3 linked regions of the Schizosaccharomyces pombe genome follow. The protein of the gene in region 1 interacts with the protein of each later gene in a pairwise test. Each region holds a gene or a part of one and is shown in the gene's direction. Other genes may lie near its edges.

Region 1 (8,026 bases):
TAAACAAAAGGAGGACAAACGAGAATTTAAAAAATGAGAATAGATCAACTAAAAAAGAAATAGTAAAGAAAGTTAAGATAATATCAATTGATAACTAAGAGGCGGGATACAAAAGAGAGATTTCAACGTATTGCAAACTTTTAATGAAGCTTCTTCCAAAAAAGGCAGTGACTTCGATAAAGCTCAAGCTCCTTTAATTTCAACTTCACGCTGAACTTAAAGGCAGTATTTGCCGTTTAATTACAGGATTTTACTGAAAATCAGCAAATCGTAGTCTTTTGATGTTCTTTTCTTTTGTGTGGAGGTTGGTTTGCTTTGCTTCTTCACCCCTCTTAAAAAGCGTCGGATTTGGTCCAAGCTACTACACTAAACCTCCTTATTTACAATGAAGGAAAGCAAAGGAACAAAGGTTGATGAATACATTAATCCAATACTAATGGATTTCTGTGCGAAAAGACTCAGTCTAGATTAGCGAGAAATGTTAGGAAAATATCCTCGCATGGCTCAATTAAGAAAACTGATATCATTTTGCCCAAACTCGGCTTTACAGGTGCTACCAGAAGCGTTTTTGCGGAAAAAGTAGCCGACGATTTCCGTCTTGAGCGCTGATGTATTTGGTCTATTTGTACAGCTTTATGGAACAAATCATAAACAGAGTTTAGTATAAAAATAATGCCATAAACAAGGTTAGAGTGTCTGAAGGCTTTGAAAAGCTCACAATCTCTGAGTAGGTAAAAATACTATTGAAACTGGAAATACGGACTCAATATGATGCTTAGTAGAAAAAATTTATATATATGCAAGAAATTTTTTATTTTGACATAAGTACACAGAATCACCATTTTATTCAAAAAAGCACATGCTTGCCGTATGAAATGAAGTAAATTAAATTTCCTTTAGCCGTGCGGATGAAAATGCCATTTAGTTATAGTCATCATCCTTAGAACCGGCAACGATAATATCGTTAACTTTGAGTACCATTCTGCAAAGCTGAGTAGCAAGAAGCAGTTGTTGTTTCTTTCCAATAAGAGGATCAATAACAAACTGCTTTCTCATATCATTACTTCCGGTCTGCAAACAGTCAATACCAAGATATGCCTTGTTTTCTTTTACATGACGAGCTTTAACTGCTGTAAGAGCTTCGATGGACGAAAGGCCACTGTTCTCCGCGAGGGCAAGAGGAATCGTGTCCAAAGCATCTGCAAATGCACCCATGGAATATTGATCAATACCAGGAATCTTTTCAGCTTCTTTGGTGACAGCCAAAGAGCAAGAAATCTCAGCAGCACCACCACCATACACTACTCTGTTGTCACGTATCAGATTACGAACGACACAGAGTGCATCATGCAAAGCACGTTTCGCCTCATCGACAATCATCTTATTGCTTCCTCGTACAAAAACGGTTACGGCTCGAGAGTTGGCACACTTTTCTATAACTAAAATCTTATCACGAGTCGTACCAAACGACACCTCTCTCACTATACCGGCTGAACCAAGCTTATCAGACGAAAGATCCTCAAATCGGGGCACAATTCGTCCATTTGTAGCAATAGCAATCAATTCGATTTCGGGACCTCCCACCCAACGTACAGCCGGTAAATTATTTTGAAGAAGTAGATGGTTTGCTTCATCATCAAAACCCCATTGACATATAACAAGGTTAGCTCCTGCGTCCTTTACATGCTTAATCATTTCCTGAAATTTTTCCTTCTCATAAGCTTGAAGGGCTTCAAATTCACTCACTGATGTTATGTCCAACTTATGCTTAGTTTTTGGCTTTGGTGGTTCAAAAGGGCAGGTTAAAATAGCAATCTTTGCATTTTCAATACGATGAGGCATTTGTGGATGCGACATGTCTTTGTCCACCACAACACCCTTTACAAGCTTTGTATCATCCACTGAACCACCAACCTTGCCATCTACTTTAATGAGTTCAAAATCAACATCTTTTCTCTGCAAATCAGCAACAGAAAGGACCGCGTCCACAGCAATGTTTGCAAAGTGATCATGAGCTTTGGAAACCACTTTACTACCCAAACTAGTCTTAGCAGAACGAAATAAATTAGTAGTGTTTTCGGGACTAAAGTCGACAACATCTGAAATAGCATCTAAATGTTTAACAGCCACCTGGCATGCCTTTTCGTAACCATCTGCAATCCTTATAGGATGTATACCTTTGTCTATAAGTGCCTCGGCCTGCTCCAGTAATGCACCTGCTAGTACAACAACACCAGTAGTTCCATCCCCAATTTCATCATCTTGAGATTTAGACAACTGAACTAACAGCTTTGCAATTTGATGTTCAACCTCCATTTGGTCGAGGATTGTAGCACCGTCATTGGTAACCGTAATCTCTCCATCTGGAGAGATTAAAATTTTATCCAGTCCACGGGGACCCAAAGAAGTACGCACAATATTAGCAACTGTTTTGGTAGCTAATATGTGACTTTTTACAGCATCAATTCCATGCAATCTTCTCTTCTTTTCCTGGTCACGTACTAAAATGAAAGGATTTCCTTGATCGTCACGGACCATAACAGCGTTATCTAGACCGGCCATTTTGCTCATCTTGTTATTGTGAACTGTCGATGCAAATGAATTTCAAGTGATAAAACTGAACGCTACACTAACCCAAATCCTTGAAATACTTTTGAACGATTTCACAAAGAACCTTATCTCTTACTTCCCTTTAAATCGTTGAAATAACTTGAGGTTCAAGCTTAGGGTGTATTCTTTAGAATGTCGTTGAAAGCACGTCTAATATGTTGCGGCCCTTCAGCATTTTACGAACTTCTATAGAAGAAATAAGCACTATATTTCACTAATGTAAGCTACGCAGTTTGGTATCTGATTTAAGGATACGTAGAACTGCGGTGAGTTTTCCTTGTGGTCTATTATATTACAATACACAGGTTGTATAAGTAGCAACTGAGTATAGGTATTGTATTAACTGAGTTATAATGTTACCTATCACTAATATAGCTCATAACTGAACTGAGGAACGAGGTTCAGTTGTAACGCTATTTATAATATTTCTAAATAGTTGTTATCAACGGGTATCTATGTATATAGACGGATAGTTACCCGTGATTATCAATAAACGGATCTTAGCTAGTATTCCAACATATGACATATAGTGATACGCAACGTAGTGTATCATAGCGTAGTGTACTATTGCTGACAACTAAAGTATTTTGCGAGCGTGCGTTACAACTCTGTAATCATAAGAAATCAACTCGCAATATTAGTCTCAATTGTACACTCTCCAACAACCCACATATCGAAATGGAACAGAAACCGGAAGTTGATTACTCAGAGAAGTTTGCAGAGTTACAAAAAAGTTTAAATAACCTTAATACCATAGACATCGTACGTAAAAATCAAAATTTTGACTAATCTCTAACTTGTAATTGTAGGATGCGAACCTCGAGAAGCTTTTGATTTTTGAGAAGCAAGTTCGTCAGGCTTCTGACACCAGCACGAATACGAAAGTATTAATATACATTGCTGATTTGCTCTTTCGAGCTGGTGATTTCCAAGGCTTAAACGAACAGTTGGTTAGTCTCTTTAAAAAGCATGGCCAACTGAAACAATCGATGACAAGTTTAGTCCAACATGTAATGACCTATCTTCCTGGAATTGACGATTTAAAAACAAAAATTAATTTGATTGAAACATTGCGTACTATTACTGATGGAAAGATATATGTGGAAGTAGAAAGGGCACGTCTTACACAACTGCTTTCCCAGATTAAAGAAGAGCAAGGTGACATCAAATCTGCCCAGGAGATCTTGTGTAATGAACCAGTAGAGACTTACGGATCTTTTGATTTGAAGGAAAAAGTTGCATTCATTTTGGATCAAGTTAGATTATTCTTACTGAGGTCTGATTACTACATGGCATCTACTTACACGAAGAAAATAAATGTTAAGTTTTTTGAAAAGGAAGACGTCCAGTCTTTAAAACTTAAGTATTATGAGCAAAAAATCCGAATTGGTTTGCACGACGATGCATATCTTGATGTTTGTAAATATTATCGAGCAGTTTATGACACCGCCGTGGTTCAAGAGGACCCCGAGAAATGGAAAGAAATATTAGAAAATGTCGTTTGCTTTGCCTTGCTTACTCCTTATGATAACGAGCAGGCAGATCTTCTTCACCGAATTAATGCTGACCATAAACTAAATTCTCTTCCTTTACTCCAACAATTGGTTAAGTGCTTTATTGTCAATGAACTAATGAGATGGCCCAAAATTGCCGAAATCTATGGAAGTGCTTTAAGGAGTAATCCTGTTTTTGCTGAAAATGATGAAAAAGGTGAGAAACGTTGGTCTGAACTTCGTAAGCGAGTCATCGAACACAATATTCGTGTAGTCGCAAACTATTATTCCCGCATTCATTGCAGTCGTCTAGGAGTGTTGTTGGATATGAGTCCTTCCGAAACAGAACAATTTCTTTGCGATCTTATTGCAAAGCATCATTTCTATGCCAAGATTGATCGCCCAGCTCAAGTCATTTCATTCAAGAAATCTCAAAATGTGCAAGAGCAATTGAATGAGTGGGGTTCCAATATTACTGAACTTCTTGGAAAATTGGAAAAGGTAAGACAGCTTATTATAAAAGAAGAAATGATGAATTCTATTCAACAGGCGGTAGCCAAATAAATTGTTCCGTCTCTATTTCATTTCGTTACTTTCATGACTTTGTCATTTAAATAATATACTATTGGTTCAAAGGCCTTCAACTTTTTTTACGAGAATACAATAGTTTTAATGTCGAATTGCAACCTCGGAGAAAGTTATTCTAGTAAGTTTGTAGTGATTTTCGTTGTTATTTGTCTCGTAACTAGAAGGTTAACTTGATGAATTATTTTAAATAAATTATTGTAGTTCACTCAATATGTAGTCCCTTAATTTTTATTTCAGTTGAGTTTAGTTAAAAGATTGCCATTGGTATCATATCTGGCCTCAAAAAAAGTATAGCTTAGAAGAATATCGTCAATATCCTTCATATTTGGATCATCAGCAAATTCTGGATCTATAAAGAAAAACACAGGCAAGTCTACTTTTTCATGAGCATCTAGCTTTTGCTCTTCAAAGCAAAAGCATGCAACCTTTGAGAAGTAAACAGCGGCTTGACCTGGTACTATATTATAAGTTGCAACTCCTACTATGTCATGGTCGGACGTATTTTCAGCAGTATAAAACCCTAGAGCAGTCTCGCCTGGAAGAACATATATTTCACGCTGCTGGGGCCAAAGCTTCCAGCTAAGGTTTCCTGCAACGTCGCCATTGAAAGTAACTCTGATTCTTTTATTGTCTTTACGAGGAACCATTCTTTCTGCATTCATACGACTTTGGTCGGTATTAAGAGTGCCACCATAACCTGTTTTCGAACAGAAAAGACGATATAAAGGTACAGCCGCATATGTCAAGCCCAACGCAAAAATGGAAATTGCAACCAGATAATAGATAGTGGTCCTTTGATTATAGTGGAATTTATCTCTCGAATATTGTCGTGAATATTTCCTGGTACCAGAGATGCAATTGTAACAGCTAAATGAAGTAAAAATACAAGGGAAACGATGTGAATTAAAGTCTGCAAATCGAGAAAAAGCTTTATGACGATTAGTCGAATAGAATCGTTTTCCGACAAAAATAGGATCTGCAGTTGTATTTCTTTCAACTTTGGGTTTATTATATGAGGGGGGATTGATTGAATAGGTAGAAGAAGCATCTTTTAAATGTTTAGTAATTTTACTACTTGGAGAAGTACTTTGAACTTTGCCCTCTAACGGAAACAAGTCGCCCCAAGCACTTTTCCTAGCTAATCGATAAGCTAGTTTACCTTGTGATTTAGGAACAATATTCCTTCTAAGCCGAGCATCGCTATCACAGACATCAATTATGACATGTCCATCTCGCTTCAGTGGAGGTCGAATTATACGTGGCCAGTTTTTAAGAGTTGGAGATGTAACATTCACATTTTCTAGTAAATCCTCATCATTCTTGAACCTTTGTGTGGTATTATTAAGCGGTCTAGTTATACCCTTTTGAATAACAACATAACTGTAATGAGAGCGATCCGAGGATCGACGATGAGAACGAGGGACATATAGACGGGAAAATGGGGATAGGAAAAAATGTTGTTTGAAAGAACAAATATTTGCTCTTACCCCATTTTCTATATCAATGGGGCAGCGACCATCGTGGGGACAGGGTGCTACAATATGGGCATTGAATTGTTTATCAGAAGTATTTTTACTTTTTTGCAATAGAAATGTTCTAGCTCTTTGAATCAAACTAAAGCCACGCTTTGTGCCTCGCTCGCAGAGCACCAAAAGACCACCATCATTTGACACGAGACTCCAAAGCGAACGAAGATAATCAAAGAGTTCTTTCTCCGATTTCATTTCAAGAAGCTTGTTAGATGCAATAACTAGAGTGTATGAATCCTTTTTACCCAATGGTAGACGGTTAAGCGTAACAGGGCTAGTTGGATTCGGCGAAGTTGACGGGTAAATGTTATGGTGAATATCATATATGATTTTTTTCAAAAATGGGTTCTCCTCAACAATTGAAACTGAATTAGGTGTGGGAAAGACTGAATAACTAGCTAGAGCACCAATACCTGGACCTTTACCGCAATCCAGTATATGTTGAGACTTGCAAGACACATCACTGTTTACAATTTTCAAGTCAGTCAATACGCTGTATAGAGAAGCATATTGATACGGCATAGACTGATGAATATAAGCTAAAACTTGGGGATCTGTCATAGTCCGAGTAGATTCATCTTTGAATGGCGCAGACAATGGAAGCTGAGATTCCGTAGCCAAATCTTTTTTAATATCATTAATAAATTTTTTAATTTGTCCTTTTTCGCTCTTTTTCAATAAATCGTCCACATATAGATTAAATTTTGTATGCAAACTAATATCACCACTTTTCTTTTGATCCTTTACCAAAAAGTCGAGTAAACTGGAAGCTTCTGGACGATGTGAAGAGATCAATTCGTTTTTATAATCAGAAAAGTTGTTTTGAACAGCTTGAAAATTTGCATTATACCACCTAATGGTAGTGGTTGTTCCATATGGTATGAGACATCGCTGATTTTGAAAAGTAAAGCAATTCCGTAAATTATAAAGAAACAGAATTTTATATCTGCATGTTAGAATGGGCATATGTGCTGCTCAAAACACCAATTCACCAATGAACAATGGGATTTGGGGATAAAGCACTGATCTGTATATTGTGTAGAGTAAGTGCCTGATTAAGTGGCCGCAGATGGTGTTACTTGCGTTGACAGAAGAATGAATAGTACAATTTCCTACATATCTATATGTTTTATGTTTATTAAATTAGTTCAAGGATAGGCAATTCTGTCTGAGTGAATATTCTCCCAGTTTTAGCTTCTTATACACTTCAAAAAAATGCAAAACTTTGAACTTCTTTGAAAATAAGAACAAGTAATAAATTTTATGATAGTAAAGGAATTATCAAGAAATAGCTAAAATTAGTTTTAGCATTACACTTGATCAAGATAGACTCTTCACATTGATAGTTCTACAGATACCTCTTTAACCTTACCATTCTATTATACTAGGGTAATCTTCGATTTACGAAACATTCCTTGTTAACTAACTACAAACGAAAAGTTGCCGGAAAAAAACAGCCTACATTCCTTGAGTATTTTCATGAAAATTCGGTAATTCTTTTCCATTTGGTTTATATGAGAAGTTTGCAATTGTACAATAATAATTCAAAATGCCCTCGAAAAGAAAAAGAAATCCTTTACAATATCAGACTTCAGGATCATTAGATGAGGAAACAAATCAACGCAGCGCTTTTCCACAAATCGACAACAATAGTGCTTCAGAATCTTTGGAATATGATATACCACTTGATGGTTTAGATTATTTAGCAACTGTGAGGTACGAACATTTATATATGAATTTTTGTGAAAATCGAAATTTGCAACATGAATGCTTTAATCTAATCATTGTAACAATAATTGGGCTTTT
Region 2 (8,357 bases), on another chromosome or scaffold:
AATTCAAGAGACATAAAGGAGTCACCAGGCCCGCTGATCGTGAGAATGTTAAAGTGCATGTAAAACCAAAATAAAAAGAATAGAAAAGGGAAAAAGATAAGACAAAAGAAACGAGCCAAAAAGTGCTGGAAAAAACGCTCAACAGTAAGACCGGTTTTAATATCCCAAAGATACCATAGTTCTAAGCAGACACTCAGTCCTATGGATAAAAATGTAAAAAAACCAACATACTTAGTACTAATTGTACAAGATAAGAAGAATCCAGTAAAAAAAAGCCAGGCCCACCATGGTCGAGAAAAGGGGGTATGGCGTAGCTTAAAAAAACGAACGTAACAGTATATGGCACATACCATAGAGAAAAGTAAAGTTGCATCAAGTAAAATTAATCTTCCTTCAGTAACGTGAGCATTATCGAAGAGGACCAAGGATGATGAAACGATACACGCTAACAAATCGTATCCTGACTCTTTCATGATTAGAAAAACTACGGGTGGAACCAGGGAACTAAGGAGTGCAGGCCAAGCTCGAATCGTAACATAAGGGACGCCGTTATCTTTATAGTTATCGCCTATATTATCAAACAAATAATGGCCATCATAACCCGCAAGCTTAGCTACGAGAGCCAAAAGCAACTTTGCGAAGGGTGGATGGAGATCAAAAAAATATTTCCCTTGCAAATAGTAGCTTGCAAATTTACCAAAATGTACTTCGTCGAAGACAACTTCACCAGGAAGATTCAAGTTCCAAAAGCGAGTTATAAATGAAAGTACCGTTATCAAAACAAAAGCAAGCTTAAATTTTTTGGCTTTCAACGTCTTGAGATTCAAACTTACATCTTCTTCTGTAGAATTTGGAGATTTCTGTTTTGGAGTAACATTATCAGAAGACTTCGTGTCAGTTAATTCAACAGATGGCTCTTTGCTCAATTTTTGGGCTTTCTTTACAGCTTTTTCAGATTTGGAAGCCATAATTCAGATGAAAATCCGAAATTTTGGTAAAGGGTACAACTTTAAAACCAAGTCCTTCTGACCACCGAACCTGGAGTTAAGCTTGGGAGAATCTGAGTGAACTGCTACATATTCTATTACTTCTTTGCATTATATTTATCGTAGTTAAAAACGTATCGTTATAAAAAATAGGATAATAGTTATTAGTAGTTGCAATACAAAAATTAAAAAAGAGGTCAAAAGATCGATGGATGGCCTATAATAAAATACTCAATGTTTAACTTAAAGTTGTGCTTCATCGTCAGTAAAAACCAACTTTGAAGAAATTATGTCCTAAATACATTCAATCATTTCTCCACGTTTCGTAGTAGGTAGTTAACGAGCTAACTTCTCGTTAGTAGTTTATATTAAAGTGATTTATTGAAGACTTAAACATTTTGACTAGCTAAAGAATTTTTCGATTGTTATGCAAAGCTATTATACTTTATCTGTTCATAAAAAAGGCGCATAGAAAGCACAATGGTTTTGAGAAATTAAAATTCAGTCGTAAACGAAATGCTTATGAACCAAATCGTTCAAAAGTCGACTTGTGATATCGTTTTTTTTTTCGTGCGATAGATTGTGAAAGAAGCAATTGATTATACACAGCATTTTAACTCCTTGTCTAACAAAAATATTATGCCTTTGAAGCTCTTCTACAACTCCTAAAATGTGCTTTCACTTTTTCTTAGCGGTCAATATTGTGCCTGTAGCGAAAAAAATTTATCATCAATCGTCAATGTTACATCCAAAGGCTTCAAATTCACATGAAAGTATGCTGAATCAAAATCTTGAGTTATTATTATAAATCTTTCAAAGTATCCTGATTTTCATTTATACAACACTAGCTTGTTATCCTAATTATAATGAAGCAAGCAAAAACGATTTTGATTTACTGTTCAGTCTTCTGAACCTGCAACGTTGATTCAAATTACTCTAAATACAAATTTTATCTAAAATTGTGAAATTTACTAAGTGTTTACATTTTCCTTAGCTTTGCGTTAAACGCGTTTAATCGCGTTGAATTATCAACATCAAATGCGGACCAATATAGCGAACGGTTTATTCGTCACCCACCTACTACATATTACCAACTCACAACCCATCTCTCATTTGCAGCAGCGTTATTGTACGGTAAGGAGGCTTTTTTAAATATTAAAATATTTATCTGACTTTCTCTTTATTAAAGATTTTGAATTCGTAATGTCGTTTTGGAAAAATTTGTTTACTTCAGCTTTCACCCCGATTTCTGCCGAAGCGGATGAATTGATTAAGGAAGATCGAAAGCAATTTGAAGAGAATACTCCTTCAAAAAAGAACTTTGAGACCCAGAGTCCCGATGAACCATCTCCCAAGACAACCGACTCTACCGGGGCAAGAGATGCCAACCTAAGTCTCAAGACTCAAGGTAAGTAATTACGCTACTGTTTTTTTTTGGAAAGCCAATGTTCGTATGGTATAACAGTATCTGTTATGAACCGTTTTTGTAGACGTTCTATAGTGCGTTATTGAAGTGATGCTAATAATGTGGTAGAACCTATTGTCTCGGCAGATGATGCCAAAGGAGCACAGGGTAAAGGGGCCGATGAAAAAGAGGAGAAAAAGGGTAAGTATTGAAGCGTTGATTTTGATAAAATTCGTATTAATCATGGGATTGTTCAGAAACCATTCAACCCCCTGAAGAAGTAAAGACTGAACCCCCTCAACCTGAAGAAAAGGAAGGAAAGGAGGCCAAGGAACCTGAGGAACCTCCAAAGGAAGAAGCTGAGGAACCCCAAGAAGGAGGGGAAGAGGAAGAAGAAGAAGAAGAAGAAGAAGAAATTACTGATCCTTTGGAAAAAATGACTCAAGGTTCGCTTATTTGAATGGGTGTACTGTTTCTTGCTAACATTTTTTAGAATGCATGGATGCACCAGATTGCAAGGAAGTGAAACACCATTTTGAAGAATGTACTGCCCGTGTTACAAAGAAGGTAGAGCAGGGCGACAAGTCTGAAGACTGTATTGAAGAGTTTTTTCATCTTTACCATTGCGCTCGTGATTGTGCCGATCCTAAAGTCTTTAAGGTTTTGGTTTAAATGCATTTAACGCTTGGTAAGGTCGAACGAATGGAATTATATGATTCAATTTTAGGAGGCATTCGTAATACTACCTTAATGTTGGTATCTATTCCTAAAATAACATTCCTTTTTTTATGTAAAAAATGGATTAAGATGATTCCCTAACGTTTTGTAGATGATATCGACCTACGTTAAGGTAGTAAATTTAGTTTTCAACTTTCGATTCTATTTTTATATTCCAATAATTTTTCGGTTTATAGAGCGTACATTAGATAAGTAAATGATGACCGGTAATCCCAATAGTCTTAGTACACTTACTTTGAGGGTATTATGTGAGTTACTAAAGTTTGAAAACTATTTAGAGGTTTTTGCTTACCGATTTGTCCCTAGGACGCTCAAAGGAAAGGACCGGGTTTACTGATTTAGTAGTAGGGTTGTATCAATACAGAAATAAATTACGAAATTTTATTATGGGACCAGGAAATGTTGAAATGACTTGAACACTTTAAGAGTTGCGGGTATTTAGGAAGGAAAAGCATTACATGCTTAATAATCCTGTTCCACCTTTTTTATTATATTTTATATAAAAGAGAATTGAACATATATACTACAAAGGCTAATGCATTAGGAAAGAAAATACAAAAAAAAATAATTCAGGAAATAACTTTTTTTGTTTCGAGTGACTTTCTGCACCCTTTTTTGCTTTATGTAGAAAAAAAAATATATATATATATATATGTATTTTTTTTTTTTTTTTAATTGCTCCCATAGTATCATATTAATTGGGAGTATTGCAGTTGCAATAATCAATTTATAACCCGGTCATAATCCGAGAATTTATAATTGCGCCTAATACAAAATAACAATTTGATAGATTTAAATTTACTCTCAAGCGATCTGTATATTTTAATAAATTTATTTGGTTTTGTAAATATCAATGTACGATTTGCCTAACCACTTTTCCAATTTTCCACAAAAACAAGGCACCTATTCAGTTCATACTAAAAAAGATTAGGAAATTTTTCAATGGAAATAGAGGGAAATAGTATTCACACTTACTAATGCTATAATTTAAATCGGTTTTTACCAAGTAAATTTCTTAGCAATATTTGCAGAATTATAAATCAGGTAACATTGCGACTTTGGGTGGCCTCTAGGTTAGTATAATGTGTCGAATATACCTGTACCTATACTGAACCAACTACAATGCCACCTAAAGAAGATTGGGAGAAATACCAAAAGCCAGTTGATACGGAAGAAGAAAATGATAAAAATCCACCACCTTTAGACGAAGGAGACATCGAGCTCTTAAAAAGCTACGTAAGTTACATTAATGATTGAATTTGTCACCAGCAGCATACTAAATGTCAATGTAGGCTACAGGCCCATATGCTAGAGAATTAGCAGCTATTAAAGAAGATACAGAGGCTGTGTTAAAAAGAATTAATGATACTGTTGGTATGTTTTATGTCGAGAAAGCAGTTGCACGATGTTGTCTGATGAATGGCGTTCCTGTAGTTCATATAGCTGATATGAACTACAAGATATGACATTCATGAACAGGATGTATTTTTACAATTTTTTATCATGTAAAATGCTCTCATTTTATATGAAATTTGCTTAACCCGTTGTTCTATTGCTAACTAGCCCTAGGAATTAAGGAGTCTGACACTGGTCTAGCACCAATTTCATTTTGGGACGTTGCTGCGGACCGCCAAAGGATGAGTGAAGAACAACCTTTACAGGTTGCCAGATGTACCAAAATTATTGAGAATGAACAATCTGCGGAGAAAAATGCATATGTCATTAATTTGAAACAGATTGCAAAATTTGTTGTCAGTTTAGGTGAACGAGTTAGTCCCACCGATATTGAAGAAGGGATGCGTGTCGGTTGTGATCGTAACAAATATGCTATTCAGCTTCCTCTTCCTCCCAAAATTGATCCTTCAGTTACTATGATGCAAGTTGAAGAAAAGCCAGATGTTACTTACGGAGATGTGGGTGGTTGTAAAGAACAAATAGAAAGACTTCGCGAAGTCGTCGAGCTTCCTTTACTATCTCCCGAAAGATTTGTTAAGCTTGGTATTGACCCTCCCAAGGGTATTATGCTTTATGGACCACCAGGGACTGGTAAGACACTATGTGCTCGTGCTGTTGCCAATCGGACTGATGCAACTTTTATTCGTGTAATCGGTTCCGAGTTGGTTCAAAAATATGTCGGTGAAGGTGCTCGTATGGTTAGAGAATTATTTGAAATGGCACGAACTAAAAAAGCATGTATTATCTTTTTTGACGAAATTGACGCTATTGGCGGGGCTCGCTTTGATGATGGAGCAGGTGGTGATAATGAAGTTCAAAGAACAATGCTTGAATTAATTACCCAGTTGGATGGATTCGACCCTCGTGGTAACATTAAAGTTCTGTTTGCGACCAACAGACCAAATACCTTGGATGAAGCTTTGATGCGTCCCGGTCGTATAGATCGTAAAGTTGAGTTTGGTTTACCTGATTTAGAAGGTCGTGCTCATATTTTACGCATCCACGCTAAAAGTATGGCGATTGACAAGGATATTCGTTGGGAATTAATTGCACGGTTATGCCCTTCACAAACTGGTGCAGAGCTTCGTTCTGTATGCACTGAGGCTGGAATGTTTGCGATTCGTGCTAGAAGAAGAGTTGCTACCGAAAAGGATTTCCTTGACGCCGTTCAAAAGGTTGTAAAAGGTAACCAAAAGTTTAGCAGTACTGCTGATTATATGAACATGAGCTCTTAGATAATTTCCTTTATTACGCCATTCTTTATGAGATTTCATAGGTTTATCCCGCAAATGAATTAAAAAACTTCAAAATTTTGTTGCCTGGTCACTTTAGCTGTTCGAACTAGAAACGTATTAGAAAGCTTTGTTTGATATCTTATGTAATAAATGACAGGTTGCAACGTTGGCATGAAAGAAAATTTCGTTCATTATACTACACGTATGTGCATGAGTGTATGTATGTAAATATATATATTTATACATTAAACTACCATATATATCAACTGATCATTAATATAAGAACGTGGCATAGCTGCTTTACATGATGAGTGGAATGATTGACAAACATGCCCAGGTTAAGTTAAATCAAACTGACTCTTCGTCATCATCATCTATCTCATAATTTTGAAGGAATGCCGCATTTTCAAATTCACCATTCGTCGGTGTAGATCTTATAAACAGTGACCGAACGCTTTGGTAAAGAGCGGAAAAGAATATTGGAATTGATGAAAAAGCTCCTCTTGTGTACGATATGCCTGATTCCAAAGGATTTTCAGTCGCTGAATCAGAACCAAGTCTTATAGCACCTTTAAGGAAACGACGAGAATAATAATAAAGAATGCAACCAGCCACTGCAGCCAGCAGGATAGAGAATATAATAGTCAAAAAGATACTCCATCCTCCAGGTTTTGGATGAGCTTTGTAATAATCATCTTCTTTGCCGGGACATGGATGAAGCGTTCCAGCGTCCAAAGGTACCCCACCTTCACATTCTGTTAAAGGAGTGCGTTTATAACCAGTTGGCTGTCTCCATTCAAAAGCATCATCTACTGAACATTGTTCTTCACGAGTATCGGGTGGCTGTAAACCGCTAACAAGTACGCAAGTGCCATCTTTGAGACGTCGATAATTATAATCACACTCAAAGTCTGCACGAGTACACTCACATTTAGAAAGTACTTCTTCTTTAACCAATAAACTAGATCCAACCCTGCATTTTTTATGTATGCTCTTTCTGTAAAAAGATGAAATACGTCCGCGTAAACAGAGTGGCTTACCACTTATATCCGTCGGAACCCATCTAACAAAATCGCTTTCTTCAGAATTTTCCTCATCGAAAACACAGGTACGGCGATATAAAGCATCAAAATCAATTAGAACAGAAGAAATAGGTGCATTTTCATCATCAGTCGTCAGTAGCAGTACCTGATGTCCGACACCAGAGGGCTTCGTACTGACATCAACGACTACCTTGCTCTTTTCAGAGAATTGATATTCTTGCCAAGTACGCCCCTCATCTGCAGAATATTTAATCACATTCGTTGGGGATATGCTTTCAACTGCAATAATAATGGAACCGCTGTCTAAAAAGGCCCATAGATGGGGTGAGTCAAAAATCCGATACCAGGTAACACCTGCGTCTCTAGAAATAAATGTTTGCGATTCTTCATAAGGGATGAGAAATGGAGAAAAGCTTCCGACGCCAATGATTAAACCAACAGCAGCATTGGTCGAAGTGGGATCAGAGAACTGGTTTCTTTCTGTATAGCCATGCAAATGTAAATAGCAATTTTTGCCGCATTTAGGAACAATTTTTTCCCCACCAACAAGGTTCAAATAACTCCAATCTAACCCATCGTTGAAAGTTATCAATGTTTGAAGTTTCTTCGTTCCGCCATCAGTCAATTCTTTGGTATTACTGACTATGTTTGCCAAAGCTATACCTTGTATCCCTTCTAAACGTTCAAAATCAACATATCCAACAGAATCCCGATTCACGTTCGCCAATGAGGTCATGAAATAAGTGCCGTTTGAGTTTGATTTCAAAATGTCGCCCCATTCAGATCCTAAGTGCGTGTTAGTTGTTACGTGAATAAATAAAGAATGTGTTTGCGAATCCAATATAGTATAAGCCTGCTTTGGATGTACATTTAAATAAGCAGGGAAACTACAGGAAGCAAAATTTAATCCATTGATCGAAACATCTAGTGAAAGAGAAGTTCCCTCTTCGTCTTGAACTGCTACAATCACGTATTCATCTTCAATCATAAATCCAACGACATCGTTCAGAATTTCGTCCTGTTCATACTCAAAAAAGTCAATTGAAGAAATAAGCTCCTTTTTAAATGGATCATTTGTGTTTTGTCTAATGCAAAAAATCAAAGTATCATCGACGACTAATTTCTCTGCCTTGGCCCAAGAACAGTACTCAAGGTTTGATGGCAATCTCGACCATGTATCACCAAAATCTAACGAAACGAATACGACGTCTCTACAGTCGTCAGCAAAGGGATTTTTTTCGCAATTTTCTGATCCAGCATAAAGTAACCAAGCAGGCCGTGATGGGTGGAAGGAAAATAATGATTTACCATTTTGATTAGGAGGTGAAGGAGCTTTAAATTTATAAAAGTTTTTACCTCGATTGGTTGTGAAATATACAATATTTTTGGACGTAACCATATAGACCGAGTTTTTATTGTAAGCATGAGGAAGCACGCTAGAAAATTCTTCCTTCGAAAACTTGTCCCAAGTCTTACCCTCATCTTCGCTGAAATA
Region 3 (7,854 bases), 780 kb from region 1:
ACGCTGCTTTCCTAGAGCTTGGCGTCGTGCCATAGATTCTGTTTGACCCATATTATTAACTTTGGGAACATTTTCCAAGTACTTTGTCTCTTTAATTTTTAATTCCGGAAGTTCAGGAGGAGCTTGCACAGTTTCTCCAAAGGAAGGTTTTGTTTGTAAATTAGCCCACGGATCAGGCGAATTTTTTCGTTTTTTTCTAGACTCAATTTGGATAAATTGTCTAATATGTTAGTTTATACGAAATGAAATTGGTGATATACACATACCCAGTAGTATCCGCCTCCCATGTTTTATCTTCAAAATTTTCCTCAATTTCATTCCAGTCTCTTTCACGCTTCTCTTTTCTTTTCGCTATTTTTTTCTTTTCTTTTTTATCAGTAAATTCGTCTATTTTGCTCGGCCCAGACTTAAAAGATACTGGAATAGCCTTATTTACGCGCTGACTAAATTCACTAAGGCGTTCACCGGGTAATCTTTGAATTTTCCCATAATCTTTTTTTTTCTTATTTTTAAGGTTGCCTTTCTTTATTTCCTTCTTTTTAGATTCATGGTACTCTTTTTGCTGTAGCAATCGCTTGAATTGCTTTGGGAAGTTGTCATCTACACTTTCATCCTCCTTGGGAGCATGATCGAGTCTATTAACCAAATGTTAGTAAAAACATCTTGCTATAGAAATTTTTTACCCAATCTTTTTCCGTTCAGCCTCAAGAACGGACCTTTTCTTAGTCTTAGTAGGCATATTGCGCTTGGATAGTAAACACAAACGAGAAGCAAGTAATAAAGGAAAATAGCGAGCCTAGCTCGTATCGCAATTTAGATAAATTTGGATTTGTTTTAATAGATACTCATGGGATAACAGTAAAGTTTATTAATGAATACAAATATCTTTTTTTATTTTAGTGGACAAGCTGTAACGCTTTAGAGAGAAAAAATTTCAGAATCAAGTTGGAAGCAAGCTTAGTGAAGATACTTTTCGAATCATACACGAAAAATATATTAAAAAATATATATATCAAACACCAAATATACACTATCTTTATTAAAATCGTAATGCTCTTATATGTAAACACTCAACTATCTTTCTTGTTGAGTATTTTGCGAGCTAATTAATAAAAATTAAAATGACTACAAACAGAGTACTTGAAATTATATAGAAAGCGAAACAGTACAAAATTACAATAACAAAATAAAAAATTCGATAACAATCTGCTTCCATAAGAATCAAATTTTATTCTCGATTAAAAGAAAACTGTTCCCAAAATCCAAAAGTTTAGATGAGCAATTTCTCTATTGCCAATTTAATAGCTTGAATTTGAGGAAGTAAATCACTAGCCTCATTGGTAGTAATGCTGGCTGAAATCACCGGTCTACTTACACCACAAGCACGTCCCAAAGCAGCCTTGCTAGGAACAAAAACATAAGGCACATTCTTGTCCTCACAAAGCAATGGCAGATGCAATAAAATCTCTATGGGCTCGGTATCAGCCGCCATTACTATAAATTCACTAATACCACGGTTCAAGGTTTTGGTAGCCTCATTTGCACCTTTGCGAAGCTGCTTGTAATGAGAGGCCTGTTGTACCAAGTCGAGAATTTGTTGGGTTAAGCCAGAATCGGCTAAAGGAAAGGCCTAACAATGTTAGTATGCAATAAAACGAATATAAATTTCGGAAAAGTTCATTTTCCGTAATAAAATTGCCGACGAAACTAGCATTTGAAACTAGCATGCTTTCAGCTATTTCGTAGCCAAAGAAGAAGTCTTATACCATTATTAACATACCTTTGGGTTAACTGACATTTTTTCGGGTTCCTTGCTGTAAAAAGTAGTATCTGACCTACAATGGTGGTTGCTCGCCCTTGCTAAGAAATTTTCTTTAGTAAACTTCACTTTAGCTGTAGTCCAAAAGTACAAGTAACAACATCAACGTTAGTCGATCCTTCGATCAATGTAACTTGGAAAATTAATCCAAATTTGCTTAAATTTGGAATTCTAAGAAATTTATGCACATTAATAATCTTAATTGTTTCTTGGCATTACACTATGAATATGGAGGACTCAAAACTATAAATCAGATTGGTGAGTTTATTTCTATTGAGCAGGCATTCTTCAATTGGACATTGTTTACCATATTTAACAGAATATAATAACATTAAAAAAAGTTGGAACTGCATATCTGATTGAGAGCTGTATTGTTATATAGTCTATGGACTTAGCAAAAAAGAAGTTGCTAATAATCTACTATTTAACTTTTAAATTTTAGCAAAGTACATATAATTTGTCCTAAAAAAAAAAAAAAAAAAAAAAAAAAAAAAAAAGCCCTGGTACATACTATTGAAAGTGTGTAAATTGTAATTTAGCTAAAATATTTTCCCTTAGTGGTTTGGAATATAGGTTTTTAATAATATTATAATTTATAAAAACTTTGCAAAACACTTTCTAAATAATATCCAAAAAAGTTTATACTTTCTGTTAAATTCATACTTCGATCTCCAGGCTACAACTTTATCTACTGTAAAAAAAGCTGAATAAATTAACAGCGAGTACATACACATTTGGATATGTGTTTAGGAAATTCATTGTTTTATATTATTAGATAAAATTTTACACTTATTTATTCAGCTCATATAACCTGCATGTTCGTGCAAGCAGTGGAAGTGGTTGATATAGCTCTACACTATTTCAATTCATTCTACATTCCGCTTACCCAACAGCTGTCACATCGAAAATAACGCTTCAGCATATTGCTAAACGCGTATTGCAATTTTCAAGAAATATACTTTTGACGAAAAAACATGTACTAGCGGATTTTTTCTTTAACTCTTGATGAAACTAAAACTGTTTCCATTTCAAGCTGCTGGTCATGGCCAAGTACTAGTCAGTGAGGATGATAAAATTCTAATTAAGCCATGCATTAAAAGTGAAGTTGATTTTTATAAAACATGTAACGACAATATTACGCTCTACAACTGGATTCCTAAGAATTTCGGTGAGTGGATGCCTTCTAGTAGAGACATTGAGGGTATCAACCCGATCGCAGAAAGTGTTGCTTTTTCCTTAACTGGAAAAGCTATAATCTTAGAAAATATTCTGTATCAGATGGAAACTCCTTGTGTCATGGATATCAAATTAGGAAAACAGTTGTGGGCCGATGACGCTCCTCTTGAAAAACGAAAAAGATTAGATGCCGTTTCCAGAAGTACGACGAGTGGTAGTCTTGGATTTCGTATAACTGGTATATTGTCGTGGGACAGAACAAACAATACGTACATTAAACGATCAACAGCTTGGGGTAAAACCCTTACGGATTCAGATGTCGTAGAAGGCTTAAATGATTTTTTTGTCTCTTGCTCTCTTTCTCAAAAAGCAAGGTTGGTTGAAAGCTTCCTTAATTTATTGAAATTATTTGAAGTTGATCTTTCTGAGTCTTATATTGAATTAAAATCTTCTAGTATTCTTTTCGTTTATGATTACTCTTCCCTAAATCCAACGTATCATTGTGAAAGCAATGTAGTTCTCAAGCTGATAGATTTGGCACATTCTAGATGGACGAAAAACACTATAGACCATAACACATTAATTGGGGTTAAAAACTTAATTCACTGTTTTGCGATGCTCCTGAAGAATGAATAATTGAATACTGACATGATAAATTCCTTTAAAAGAAAAGTAATTTTTTTAATCATTGCTGGTTAAAGCTAATTAATTTATCTGTATAGTATTCCACTATAACTATTATAAAAATGATACCTTATTTATTTTTTTGAGTGATCGTGAAGTATTGATTTGTTATAGAAAAGAAAATAATTTTTATTCTTCGTTTATTTTATGAAAATTTTCAGAAAGGTTATCTACCCTTTTTATTTTTGGTAAGATAAAGATCTTATTCCACAAACGAACTACTTAAAAAACAGTCAGTTTTCTCTTAATAAAATAGTTCGTTTACTTATAGAAGTTTGCTTTATACCTTGCGTTGTTTTCATAGAGGTTACTAAAGCATGCTTTACTTATATGCTTTCAAATACGCTTTAACTTTTTTTTTAATAATAATTTTAACTAACATAATGAAAATAAAATAAATATGCTTATATTTCTCCATTTACCTAAAGTTTCAAACAGTAGTAATATGACTTGAGCACTTGCCATCAGCAAACAACTACTCCACGAAGGATTTCATCATGGATACCGAAATGTCTGTCAATATGTCTGATTTTTTACACGATCAAGCTACAAGAGCTCCAGAAAGCCTTCAGCAATCCTATATTTTAATGGAAGACCTTTATGAAAGGAAGTATGTTGTAAAAGTGCTTTAGAAGAAAATGAACTTTACATTAACTGACGCCAGATTATGGAAACAACTTACAGATGCTTTGATTGTTTTCTTTGATACCCCAGAAACAGTACCTTTAAGGCTTCCTTTGTATACGAACTTTGTCAACTCATTTCGACCTAATATCAATCAACTCAAAGCAGTGTACATGGGCTTAAAGGCTTTTGAGTCATGTTCTAACGACGAAGCCCTTCGTAATTTAAACCAAATTGTTAACGAATTGGATGAAGAGAAATATAAAGATGCCTATGTATATTCCATTGTTGCCATTGCTCGCATCAAGCTGATTAGTGGTAAGTTGGATGAAGCCCGGGAACTACTTGTCAAAGCCTCAAAAATTATCGACCACATTGATTACGTAGAAAGTCTTATTCATTCTTCATATTATAGCGTCAGTGCAGACTACTACAAGGCAAAGGCTGATTATGCTCAATACTATCGTCATTGTCTATTGTATTTATCTTGCATCGACCTCGATAAATGCTCTCATACCGAGTTAGTTGAAAGAGCGGTGGATCTAAGTGTTGCCGCAATACTCGGTGATATTTATAATTTTGGTGAATTATTATTACATCCTGTTTTCGAGTTGCTAGTAGGTACACAGCACGAGTGGTTACATGATTTAGTCATCGCCATGAATGTCGGAGATTTACCTTTGTTTGAACGCTTAATGGGGCAAATTAACAAAATGCCTTTACTGCAAAGTTCGGTTGCTTTACTAGGTCAAAAAATTCGTTTAATGGCCCTCATTGAGTTGGTCTTCCAATTACCTCCAAATCAGCGTACTTTAACATTTGATACAATTGCTCGTGCAACCCGTATTCCTTCTAATGAAGTTGAGTTACTCATTATGCGTGCTTTAAGCGTAGGGCTTATAACAGGTGTTATAGATGAGGTTACCCAAATTGTCACCATTTCTTCCGTCCAATCTAGAATTTTAAATCACTCGCAAATTGCAAGCATGGAATCTCGTCTACGAGAATGGAACCAAAATATTAAGAACCTTTCTAATGTGGTTGAAATTTCTGGAAAAGGTGTTTTCGTTTGATGACTACAAAACTCATTGTTTAAAAGACAAGACATGCTATAAAGTAAATAGAACTATTTTTCTATACATTATTATACATTTCAGTGTAGTAATTTTATTAGTTGTAAACATGGTACGTAATTTCATTCTCCTTAAGCAATTGTATTCAATTAGTATTCAGAATTCAAGCTACTTAATAAAAAACCCAATTGAATCCATGAATGGCTATTAATGTTAGATCAATAATATAAAAAAAAACTTACCCCTAATGTGCCATAAAACCCGACTAATTGAAAACCTTTTGGGACTAAATAGCTTTTCAACCCACCCCCGTTAGCATTTCCATAAAATGGACTTGTTTTACCATTTTCTAAAACAATGGATATCCCATCCACCCAGGCTCCACAACGTATTTGAAAGCCTACAATTTGGGAGCCTTGTATTTCAAAATCGTGAGGGCTTCCACCACGGTTACCAAGAAGAACTGATTCATCACCAAAAAATACTTCAATTCCATCCAAAGCTAAACCACAATGAACACGAATTTTAGTAGGCTTAAACTTTTCAGGTGCTATTAAAATATTTGATAACTCTTTCCCATTACAACCTCGCAAACCATATCTTTCAGATCGATAAACAGTTCCAAAAGACGATTCAACCTTCGCATTTTTTATAATTTCAGGTACATTGTTTAAATCAATACATTTGAAATTTCTGGATAGAACGCGAACACGATAATCTTGATTGGAGCTTGCATTTGAAAGAGAGCGTATTTCAGCATCAGTTAAAGAAGCTTCTCCGACTGGAGGATTAAACTCCTTCCAGCCCTTGGTCTGTCCATTGTATTCAATTTCAATTAAAAAGATTCCAGTCGAATTGACAAATGTGATAGTTTCTCCTTTAACAAAGTAGTTCGTTTCAATGTCCGACGGATATGTAGGGTCTGAAGGTAGTTTAAAGCACGGATGATAAAAAAACCTTAACATGTCAAGATGGTGCCAAGAACATTCATCTTTTGCAAGCACTGGGGCAAGACCTTTACTTCCAGTTCTAACACATTCAAATTCTCTTGTCGTAAAACTGCGGTTAAATATTGGATATGATCGCAACATGATTCCATCTGGTTGATGAGGACAACCAAGTGTATGTCCTAACTCATGAAGCATAGCGCCTATCCCTATATTCGCACATTCCCAAATCGTAGAACTTTCATTTGCATCATTTGCCAAGTAAGAAGGGATTCTACGGGCATCACTAAAGACAGGTACAACATACTCAAGTGCACTAGGAAAAGAATGTAACGAATGGGAACCAAACACTCCAAGTTTGTGCATGTCTGTACCTCCACCTAAAGCTACATGTCCACGAATTTTTTGAGTAGAAGGATCATATCGTGTATCCAAGAACATGCACATATAATGCCAAGGCTCAGGAAGATGTAGTTTGTCGACAGCATCTCCAGCTATATGAAACAATTGATCTGGAGGAACCGATCGAATCTCTTCTGCTGTTTTATCACTTCGCAGAATATTTATAGTGGCTGTTAACCTTTCGGTGCCCCAAGGGGACAAACAAGACATTGTGTCGGGTTGCACACTTTCCTCAATTCTAAAAGAACGTCTTCCATAACCATTTCTATACATACATTCAGCGGTGAAAGCTTGCCATAAGTAAGCAGCGCATCTGAGTTTACGGATGCCCTCATCAATATCATTTTTGGCACCGTGAGGTGCATCAAATGAAAGGTCTGAGTCTTTTCCAACTATAAAGGCGATACAATAGAAAGGATTATCAACAAGTAATTGGTAATAAACCTGCAATTCTAGTTTACCTCCATCGTCCGTAGTAAATAGTATGGTATTGTCTCCGGGAACGACGTGAATGATAGCTTTAAAATATAAGTCTGTAACTACCCATGTTTGTTCTGGAAATGAATTTTCGTGATGCTTCACATTGATTGTTTGTGGGCAATAACTTGCACGAGGTCCAACTCTACCATGTATAATAACAAATCTCTAAAATTAGGCATCTATATTAGTACAATTATGAAAATAACATTGAAAACACTCGTACATTGTATACAGTTTCGTTTTGGGATATATTGTCTAAAATGATCTGACTCATGCTGGCTCTTGACAAACGCGTGTGCAGTACATTCTATATTTATTTCGAATTGACTTAGACTAATGTCACAAAACATATAAATTATTTACATATTTATTCAAATTTATAAATTTAATATACACGACATCATATAAAATACAAAACATAATATAATCGCGTTTTTTGAACAATAAAATTACAGCATCGGTTGATTGAGTCTTTGGCAGTGGGTATACTGAGAGACCAATAATTATTTAAAATTCTAGCTGAATAATAAACTTTTGTATGCTTTACGGAGACAGTAGACGTCCAAATTAACTATTGAAGACTTATATAAGTACAATGAATTAATGGATTATTTATTTTAATGATTGTAAATAAATATTTAGAAAAAGA

The links. Proteins that work in one complex are often made in the same cells at the same time.
Region 2: the proteins of rpn501 (region 1) and rpt1 interact in a two-hybrid assay, tested with the Schizosaccharomyces pombe proteins (one study listed by BioGRID).
Region 3: the proteins of rpn501 (region 1) and rpn9 interact in a two-hybrid assay, tested with the Schizosaccharomyces pombe proteins (one study listed by BioGRID).

The regions. Positions count from the first base shown.
Region 1 is NC_003424.3:1,262,981-1,271,006, forward strand, and holds rpn501 (19S proteasome regulatory subunit Rpn501), read left to right. Parts: upstream 1-3,288; coding exon 3,289-3,372; intron 3,373-3,419; coding exon 3,420-4,667; 3' UTR 4,668-4,800; downstream 4,801-8,026. Other genes in the region: chaperonin-containing T-complex epsilon subunit Cct5, read right to left, coding at 922-2,562; rsm22-cox11 tandem protein cox1101, read right to left, coding at 4,925-7,186; yip12 (SMN complex subunit Yip12/Gem2), read left to right, coding at 7,770-7,936. UniProt on the Schizosaccharomyces pombe protein: Acts as a regulatory subunit of the 26S proteasome which is involved in the ATP-dependent degradation of ubiquitinated proteins. Required for proper proteasome assembly.
Region 2 is NC_003423.3:4,339,263-4,347,619, reverse strand, and holds rpt1 (proteasome regulatory subunit Rpt1), read left to right. Parts: upstream 1-4,239; 5' UTR 4,240-4,251; coding exon 4,252-4,365; intron 4,366-4,421; coding exon 4,422-4,503; intron 4,504-4,698; coding exon 4,699-5,819; 3' UTR 5,820-5,997; downstream 5,998-8,357. Other genes in the region: ER membrane O-mannosyltransferase Ogm4, read right to left, coding at 1-968; qcr6 (ubiquinol-cytochrome-c reductase complex subunit 8), read left to right, coding at 2,190-2,394, 2,521-2,592, 2,649-2,837, 2,885-3,063; vacuolar protein sorting receptor vps10, read right to left, coding at 6,168-8,357. UniProt on the Schizosaccharomyces pombe protein: The 26S proteasome is involved in the ATP-dependent degradation of ubiquitinated proteins. The regulatory (or ATPase) complex confers ATP dependency and substrate specificity to the 26S complex.
Region 3 is NC_003424.3:2,039,666-2,047,519, forward strand, and holds rpn9 (19S proteasome regulatory subunit Rpn9), read left to right. Parts: upstream 1-4,142; 5' UTR 4,143-4,176; coding exon 4,177-4,289; exon of another isoform or gene 4,290-4,343; coding exon 4,344-5,376; 3' UTR 5,377-5,494; downstream 5,495-7,854. Other genes in the region: SPOM_SPAC607.02C (uncharacterized protein), read right to left, coding at 1-220, 267-635, 684-739; U3 snoRNP-associated protein Snu13, read right to left, coding at 1,271-1,630, 1,781-1,798; arg82 (inositol polyphosphate kinase), read left to right, coding at 2,825-3,631; SPOM_SPAC607.06C (metallopeptidase), read right to left, coding at 5,545-5,580, 5,619-7,370, 7,429-7,479. UniProt on the Schizosaccharomyces pombe protein: Acts as a regulatory subunit of the 26S proteasome which is involved in the ATP-dependent degradation of ubiquitinated proteins.